Neurospora crassa OR74A: one gene and its partner. Each later gene encodes a partner of the first gene's protein in a complex. Links are inferred from orthologs where the notes say so. Each region holds a gene or a part of one and is shown on either strand. Other genes may lie near its edges. The genes, in order: NCU05587 and NCU06491.

What was found.
Region 2: NCU05587 (region 1) and NCU06491 share a complex: the UniProt entries of both Saccharomyces cerevisiae proteins name them as parts of the SWR1 chromatin remodeling complex. The link is inferred for Neurospora crassa OR74A from reciprocal best matches to the Saccharomyces cerevisiae genes ARP6 and SWC5.

The regions. Positions count from the first base shown.
Region 1 is NC_026506.1:1,416,249-1,420,780, reverse strand, and holds the start of NCU05587 (actin-like protein arp-6), read right to left. Parts: upstream 2,858-4,532; 5' UTR 2,759-2,857; coding exon 2,311-2,758; intron 2,257-2,310; coding exon 1,364-2,256; 3' UTR 941-1,363; exon of another isoform or gene 889-940; 3' UTR 749-888; coding exon of another isoform or gene 1-748. Other genes in the region: NCU05586 (malate/L-lactate dehydrogenase), read left to right, coding at 1-748; NCU05588 (topoisomerase TRF4), read left to right, coding at 3,452-4,532. UniProt on the Saccharomyces cerevisiae protein: Component of the SWR1 complex which mediates the ATP-dependent exchange of histone H2A for the H2A variant HZT1 leading to transcriptional regulation of selected genes by chromatin remodeling. Involved in chromosome stability.
Region 2 is NC_026503.1:1,607,931-1,612,083, reverse strand, and holds NCU06491 (SWR1-complex protein 5), read right to left. Parts: upstream 2,517-4,153; 5' UTR 2,097-2,516; coding exon 1,765-2,096; intron 1,707-1,764; coding exon 1,010-1,706; 3' UTR 649-1,009; downstream 1-648. Other genes in the region: NCU06490 (hypothetical protein), read left to right, coding at 2,854-2,948, 3,008-3,923. UniProt on the Saccharomyces cerevisiae protein: Component of the SWR1 complex which mediates the ATP-dependent exchange of histone H2A for the H2A variant HZT1 leading to transcriptional regulation of selected genes by chromatin remodeling. Involved in chromosome stability.

The DNA of each region.
Region 1 (4,532 bases):
CTATGGCATTGGAATGGTAAGCGTCAAGCATAGCAATCATTTTGGCATGTCCGCTTGGATTGTGAAGCAAGCGGTGGATGCGGACATGATGAGTCTGGTTTTTACCAATTCGTCGCCTGCGCTGCCCGTGTGGGGTTCCAAGGAGAAGATGATGGGTGTAAGCCCCATCGCCTGTGGAGCGCCGGGTGGGAAGGGCGAGGGGTCGAAGCCGTTCATCTTGGACATGGCCCCGTCGGTCGCAGCGAGGGGCAAGATCTATAAGGCGCTGAGGAGGGGAGAGAAGATACCGACTGACTGGGCTTTGGATGGGGAGGGCAAGCAAACTGATGATCCGGCCAAGGCGCTGGAAGGCGTGATGCTGCCTATGGGTGGGCCAAAGGGGTCGGCGCTGGCGATCATGATGGATGTCTTCTCCGGCGTGCTTTCGGGTTCTGCGTTTGCTGGAGGCGTCACGGGGCCGTATGATATGTCCAAGCCGGGGGACGTTGGCCACTTCTTCGTGGCCATCAAGCCTGACTTGTTCATGAGCCTGGACGAGTTCAGGGAACGCATGGATATCCTATACCAGAAAGCGGTGAACTCGGAGAAGATGCATGGCGTCGACAGAATTTACTTCCCGGGCGAGATTGAGCAGCTGAACGAGGAGCAGAGATTGAAAGATGGCATACCATATGCCAAGGCAGAGATTGATGCTCTGAATGCAGAGGCTGAAAAGCTAGGCTTGGGCAAGATCCGATTGATAGAGTAGAGCTTCATATATATTGGGTTATTTGCACCTTTGGAGGTGAAATGGGCCAAATTCTTCGTCTGAGCCAAGTTTGTTTAAAATAAAGAAGCTGCAGGCGATCACAACAAACCACTGATGAGGACGATGGTGTGATTTGGTCTCTTTCCGAGGGTTAGCGTTGATCCTTTTTTCAAACCATTTTGAAAACTTTACCAAAGGCAGCATCATGGGTATCACAAGGGTGGCAAGTAGCTCGCCCTCAGAAACTCTGATACCTGCTTTTCCGTGTAGAGCTGTAGGTAGCTGAGATCAGTTGCGCGGTTTTGCCCCAGTGCATCTCAATCAAGATCAACACCCAGTCTATACACCCAGCCCATCGAGACAGAGTCTTGGTGTTCTGGCATGGCACGGCAGGGTTTCGGATTGAACGGCGCTTTTCAGACAGAGTGTATGGCACTCAACGTCCAGAGACAGGCAAGAAGCAAAGCGTACTAGCCCACCCTGCTCATTTTTGTCTGGGTAGTATCCAGCCGGGCACTCAATCAAGCAGCATAGGGAGCCGCTTGGCAATCGCTTTATGGGCTAATGAACCCTGGAAAGCTTCAAAAATGGCAATAATAGACTCCAAGCAAATGCTCAGGGGTCGAGTCCGAGCCCAGCAGCAAATTTTCTTGCCACCCAAGCAGCTCCATGTTCCTCATACTCTTGCTTGGTGACCTCGAGCTTACTGGCATGTTCATGCTTGGCGAAATTGGCAGCTCCCAACCAGGTGCTGATGATAGGGTCTTCCGGGCGGGCAACTCTGACCCTGCATTCATCGGGGAATCGCTTGAGAATCTCTGTTTGCAAGCGCTGACAGAACCCTTCAGAGAGACTGTTTCCTCCCACAACTACGATATTAGCCAGAAGGCCAGGCCACAGTCCAATTGGCACAGCCAAGAGGGACTGCTTGACTAGGTCGGCGATGCCAGGTTGCCGGATGCCGATATCAGAAGGGTTGAAGAGGAGCTCTGGAACAACAAAACGCTCGTTCCGTAGCGTCAGGACGTCCTCTGTGGATACAATGCCCTTGCGGGCGCGCGCCGAGACACCAGGCTCGTAGTCGCGGACAACACCGTGGAAGCGCGTGTGGGAGTCGGGCAGAACGTAGTCTTTGGCGATGCCAGCACCGCTCAAGTAGTCCTCCCTCTTTTCGCCGCGCGTCCCTTTCCAAGTCTTTTCCAGGTCTCCCTTGAAGTCCAGGGAGGTGTAACAGACTGCTTCTTTCATCTCGTTCACAATGTATGGTTCGTTGCGCATGTCGAAGTGGCGGACGGACAGTAACCTGGTGAGATAATTGGTCATGAGCTTGCCACCCACATCAAGTCTTCGTATGGCCGGATGTAGCGGTCGGCCTTGGAGGATAGGCGTAACGGTGGTGTGAGAGTAACCCGAGTCGATGAGCAGGATGACTTGGGCTGGACTGTCTATGGTGGATTGGGGTGTTCGGAAGATGGATTGTATGTCCCGGTACGCGTTGAAGACAGGACCTAGAAAACAAGGTCAGCACCCTTTCCCTAACAGCTCTCTAGGAGGCGACATACCCAGGCCACGGTAGTAACTCGCAAAGCCATACTCCTCAAAGACGATCTGGTCACAGTGTGTTTGGAGAGAAGGCAATGAATTTGGTTGCTCTGTGAGAATGAGCCTGGTGTCTGATGGGTCGCATTTCTGCGCAGCTTTATCGTCGAAGAACTCGCGATCCCAGATCTCTTTCTGGGCCTCCCAGTTGACGATAAAGCCCTTTTCGACGGGGCGCCTGAAGGCCAATTCGCTGAAGTCCTTGCATTTTTCGAGTTCCGAGCCGACATAGATCTTCCTGTGACGGTCTCGAGCGAGGCAATTCGGAATGATGCGAGGCTTGCCGTCGCTCTTGTCATCGGAGACGAATCCAGCCTTGATGGTGTCGGCGCCGTTGTCGAGAACCAGGGTTGTCGTGGGGGGTGCCGGCCCTGCCGCCCGGGACTTTTTAGCCCCTCCTCGTCCGGTCATGACAGTACTGAAACAACAGCTGCTGACAATTGAATCCCTCTCGCGCCCCGGCCCTCGTAGCTTGAAGTGCGTGGGAGAGTCGCGTCGCGGTTGTTGTCGCAAGAACCGTCAATTGTTTGGGTTTCCACTTGCATCGACGACGGGACCTGCTGATAAGGGGAACGATAAGGGTTGTCAGTGCCACCCGGACCTCGACGGGCTGGGGTTCTCTTGCTTGGCATTTCATCATTTCCGCCGCCGCAAGTGTACACTAAAGACTCGCTGACCTGACAGCGCCGGAGAGTGAGAACGGAACCTGCCGGCGCCTGCCACTGCGGCAGCGGGCACAACACACCGGAGACACACACACACAGCGCAGCCTAGGGCCTTGTGGAAATCTCGACTGGGACCGGGCAGCCCTGCCTTCCGTCATCCATCACTTCACTTCCACTGTTGAGAGCACACTCCCGCTCCCGTCACGGCAACTGAACTCTGCAACCCGACCACTACAAATCCCATCAATGTTGCCCCACTCAACTTTTACCTCTGACTTTTAAAAAAAAATTAAATGACAAGGTGAACATTTCCACCTCTCAGCGTATTTTGCCCCCCTTGTGGAATCAACCTCATCCTCTTGTGCTCCGATACCGAGCACTCACTCGATGCGCTTTATCGTGGTCAGTATCGCATAAACCCATAACTGCTAGTTTTAGCATGTCACAACGATACCAGAACGGCGGTGGCGGCGGCGGCGGTCGACGTCGTGGTAACGACCCTCGGGACGACCGCAATGGCTATCAACAACGCGCGCCGAATGGCCCTCATGGTCTCCCTGCCCGACCTCCCCAGCCGACATCGTACCGTCCCTCCGACAACTACTCCAACCGCAACAACGGTGGCGGTGGCGGTGGAAGAGATCGCGACAATTACCGGCCTCCTCAGGGTGATTTCTCGTTTAGAGTAGAGAAGCCGCCGGGAGTCAGCAATTCGAGCTACGACAACTACCGTCCCAACGACAACAGGCAGTCCTACAATGGCCGCAGAGCCCACTCTCCCAGAGGCGATCGTCGCCACGGAAGACCCAGTGGCCGTGGACGAGGCCGCAACGCTGGCCCCCACGGAGGTTTTAGGAAACCGTGGCGTCCTTTTGTTGCGGCTGAGCGCGAGCTATTGAGCGGTACCCATGAGTCTGGAAATGAAGAGGCCCTCTACAATCCCGAGACGGGCGTGCTCTACCGGAATGTCGACGAACTGTCCGACAGTGATGAGGCCGAGATGGACATCTCTGGAGATGAGGCTGCTGAAGATGCCGAGCCGTCGACCAAGCGTGCTCGCACTGCGCTTGATCAGTCGACCAGCGCCAACAACACCCCCAAGTGGTCCAACCCCGACCCCTACACTGCACTCCCTCCCGAGGGTGCTCGGGAGCGCAAGACCAAGGATGTTGTGCAGATGATCAGAAAGGCTCGTGTGCAAACCGCTGCCGAAACAAAGACCGCGCTCCCCAACGACCTGGACGAGATCATCATGTTTAATTCCGATAGCGACAGTGACATCGAGATCATCCAGGAGGCGAAGCCCACTGGCAAAGCAGCGCGTGATTCCCTTTCTCTTGTTCCCGTTGCGGCCGCAAGCGAGGATTTGAGGGCTAAGCAGCCCTCCAAGAAGTCTGAGGTTAGGCAGCCTGTGGACAAGAAGCCTGAGACAGGAACTATTGATCTCACAGGCACTGATGACGAAGAGGACTCGGCCCCACTTCCTCCGGCACCCAGGAACATACCCAAGAACCTACCCA
Region 2 (4,153 bases), on another chromosome or scaffold:
CCGGAGGATGTGACTCGAAGTTAAGTGACGCTCTCCTGAATCCTACTCCAAGTAGATAGTCACCGCTACCACCTTTTACCATCCTTCAGTTACCTTTTTTTCCCCTTCTTATTAGCATCAGCTTCGACTACTGGTCGGTAAGAAGGGGGGTAAGGTAGAACCTCTCAAGCAAGTCTACCTTCAAGGTTATTTTCAGATCTCAAAAGGGCTTTTAAGGCGTGTGTACATAGGTAGAGGTACCCAACAACCTTGGATGGTTGAACTACCTGTTGAAGACAGGAAGTCAGACGTAGATAATCTTCCGTTGTTGAGTTTCTAGACATTCTCAACTTGGAGGAGAGGTCGTTGATCTAGTACTGAATCAGCGGAAACCAACCCCCCAAATAATCGAATAAGCTCCCAAGATACATTGGGAAATCATTGTGAACAAAGGACCAAAAAGCGTTGTCGTCGGCATCCACTGCCAGTGGCTAGGTACCCCAGACTGGTGTTATGGAGCCATTCAACAATAAAATCGTCCAAAAAAAAAAAAAGAAATTGGAAAAAAAAATCACTTCGACGTGGGCCTGATTCGAACAGACGCTCCCGAAGGAACAAGATTTCTAGTCTTGCGCGTTAGACCACTCCGCCACCACGCCAGTTGATGATTGGTTGATGATAACTGCATTGAGAAGTTGGGATCATGAGTCAGACAGCGTGGTGCATGGGTACAACTTGCCAAATGATTTCTGGATGAGAAATGCATGTTCCTTTGCAATGTGACCAGGAATTGCAAGGAATTGATATGTGACTGTGACCCTGAGTTCATGCAAGTCGTGTTTTGCTTGGTGTCTTCAACGCGTTGGAAAGTTCCGATATTGAAAACTGGGGTATCTCTATTTGGCGAACGTAAGAAATGAAATGGTGTTGCATAGTGCTGTCCTTCCAAACTTGTAGTGGTAAGGGAGACGCCATCCATACAACAATAATAGGCAAGCGACCAATGGATTGACTGGAGATCGTGACACGCTCACGTCTTCCCCGCCTGCGCCATCCTCGCCCTCCTCGCCTCCTCCTCCCTGCGCATCTCGCTCCTGGCCAAGAAATCCTGCCTCGCCGCAAACGAGTCCTTGGACTTGCCGGCCAGCTCGAGCTCGTCTTTGAGGCCCATCTTGTCGACCGCCACCGCCCAGTCCATCTTGCTCTTCTCGACCGTGTTGAGCTTCTTGGCCTTGTTGCCCGTGGCTTCGCGAGCCTGCAGGCGGGAGGCCATGCTCAGGTTGAGGTCGGAACGATGCGCCGAGTTGGCGTCGGTGATGGGCTCGAAGACGGACCGGAAAGCTTTTCGGGGCATGCGCTTGGCAGAGGAGGACTCGTCCTCGGCGGCTGTTTCGCCGTCCGCTGGAGCGTTCTCTCCGAGAGAGGCGAGATAGAGTTTTGCTTCGGCAGAATCGCGGGCAACGAGCTTTTCTTCAGTGTGGACTTTGCCGGCGAAGTTGTAGGTTCTCTTGATCTTTATGAGGTCGGAATCGGGATCTTTCGCCTTGGCTGTTTCTGGCTGCTGGGATGACGATTTCGCGATGTCACAGTTCGCTGGATCGGCGCTTTCGTCTGGTTTCGCTGTACTTGTTCGTGGTATGACCGGCTCGCTGATCATTTGCGCCCAAAGGGCATCGACGTCGATTGTAACAGGTCCGCTGGCGGCGGCTGTTGAACGTTTCTCCTTTCTGCCATTGTCGTTAATGCCCAGGACCCAAAGAGAAGAGGGTTGATGTGAGAACATACTCAACAGCGCGTTGGCTGCGCGTCTTGATGAGACCGCCCTCGCCAGTTTCCTCATCGTCGGCAGCAAGTTTTGTCTTTGTTTTCTTTTGACGTTTCTCCCCCTTCTTTATTATAGCTTCATCTCCAGAATTGTCATAACCAGCGTCTTCCGCCTCCTCGATGGCAGCGCGTTTCCTCTTCTCGGGTTTCGCTTTCTCGGCATCTTCACCGGCTTCTTCGTCGTCATCGTCGGATATTGATGATTCTCCCGCGGCTTCGGCAGTTTCTGGGGCGAAGTCGGAGTCTTCCTCTGACGCGTAGTCTTCTGCAAGAAGCTCTAGTGTTGGCGCCATCTTGGTATCTCGCGAATATAACAGTCTGGTCTTCCTCAAGCTATTCGCGTAAAATTCTCGTTGCCGTGTGTGTCGTCGTTCCAAGAATGGTACCTCTTCCAAGTATCGTGGGCCGGAATATTAAAGTGGAAAAGTGATGAAGGGAACAAGGACGGGATCCATGTCTTTGTCCGATCGACTGCAGCGTGACAGTGGAAACACAAACGCTCTGTTAGCAGCCAATAGGGCAGCTTGCCGTCATGTCGCCGCTGTTCGGCTCAAGCTCCCCCGCATCACGCCCACACCTTCCTTGATGTCCCGCTGAAAACGCCCCGCAACCGGGAACCTTTTTAGAGTTCCGTTACTATCATCCGATGACAAGCTGGATCTGCCCCTGACGACGGGATGTTGTCAACCACACCACTGGGACATGATGTTCAGGTTCAGAAAGGCCGCTATCACGAAAATGGAAAACTGGTGATGCCGTACTCTCCAATAAACCTGGCGATATCCAATAGGGTATTTCTGGTTAAACCAAAAACCACCCCGCCGGTTACACGTAGCCTAGGGCGCCTACGGAGCAAGGATGGATTACCTAGCTGCCTCGTGGCGCAGTGTGAGGCGGCATTCCATTCGGAGTCCGGAGTTGTCGTGACAGTCGGATTGATTAGCCTGGGTTAGTTTCTGGCGGGATCTTGAAAAGAGTATATAAGGGTAGAGATAGCTTGTCGGCCCCGTTCCAGTCTATAGCCTTGTTCTTTACGCTACTTTCTACAGGATGTGTCCCAAAGGCAACATCACACTGAACATGTCGTCGTCATCTGCTCTGAGTCTTGAAGAGAAGGAACACTTCCTCACTCATGGCTGGGTCAAGTAGGTGTCATGCCACCATACCAGCTGTTCAACCTCGTTCGAGGTACTGACCATGCCAGGATCCCGGCTGCCTTCACGCAGCAGAGAGCACAGGAAATCATCGCCAATGTTTGGACGAGACTAGGAATGGATCCAAACGACAAGTCCACCTGGAACAAAGAACGTGTCAACATGCCCTCACATATGGAGTTCGACGCTGCAGACTTTGCCCCTCGTGCCTGGGCAGCCATCAGCGAGCTTTGCGGCGGCGAGGATAAGATCGCGAACTGGTCGAAGAAGTGGAAGGACTCCCTTATCGTCAACCTGGGCACACCACAGAAAGAAGGGAAACCAGTCCCCCCGCAAAAGCTGGACAATTGGCACGTCGATGGTGACTTCTTCGTCCACTACCTTGACAGCCCGGAGCAGGGCCTGCTCGTCATTCCTCTCTTCACCGATATCATGCCCGAGGGCGGCGGGACCATGATCTGTCCGGAGGCAATCCCTATCCTCGCCAAACACCTGTACGAGCATCCCGAGGGTGTCTCGCCACGTATGGCACCCCGCAGCGATGCCGAGTTCAAGCAAGAGCAGCATCTCAACTGGTTCAACAACACGGCCAAGGGTTGCACCCAGTTTGTCGAGGCAACAGGCAAGGTCGGAGACGTGTACTTACTTCATCCGCTGATGCTGCACTCGGCCTCCAGCAACGCGAAGAGGAACGTCCGCATCATTACCAACCCGCCAGTAGCGCTGAAGCAGCCGTTCAACTTTGATAGGGAGGACGGCAACTATTCACTCGTCGAGCAGGTGACGTTGCGGGCTCTTGGAAAAGACCGCCTGGAAGGCTGGAAGATTACCAGGCCAAGAGAACAGATTGTCCCGGAGAGAGTCAGGATCCAGGAGAGGATGAAGCAGGAGGAGCTGGCGAGGTTGGAGGCTTTGAAGAAGGCGGCCGGCCCGGGAGCATCACAGGGTGTACAGGCGGCGGCATGATATTTTGCGGACGTTGTGCGTTATTGTACGATTTTCTAGTAGGACAGCTTATGTCAAAGTCAACATAAAGAAGTTGGAGATATGGGATGATGAAACTGCAAAAAAGAACCTCAATGGCCGGCAATTTATCTTTCAATTTGCAAGTACACTGTAACAATCCGGGGTAGCGTCACAGCTCCCGCAACCGCCTGGACCCTGAAATGCACGCCAAGAAACAGTGGGGCTGTTAG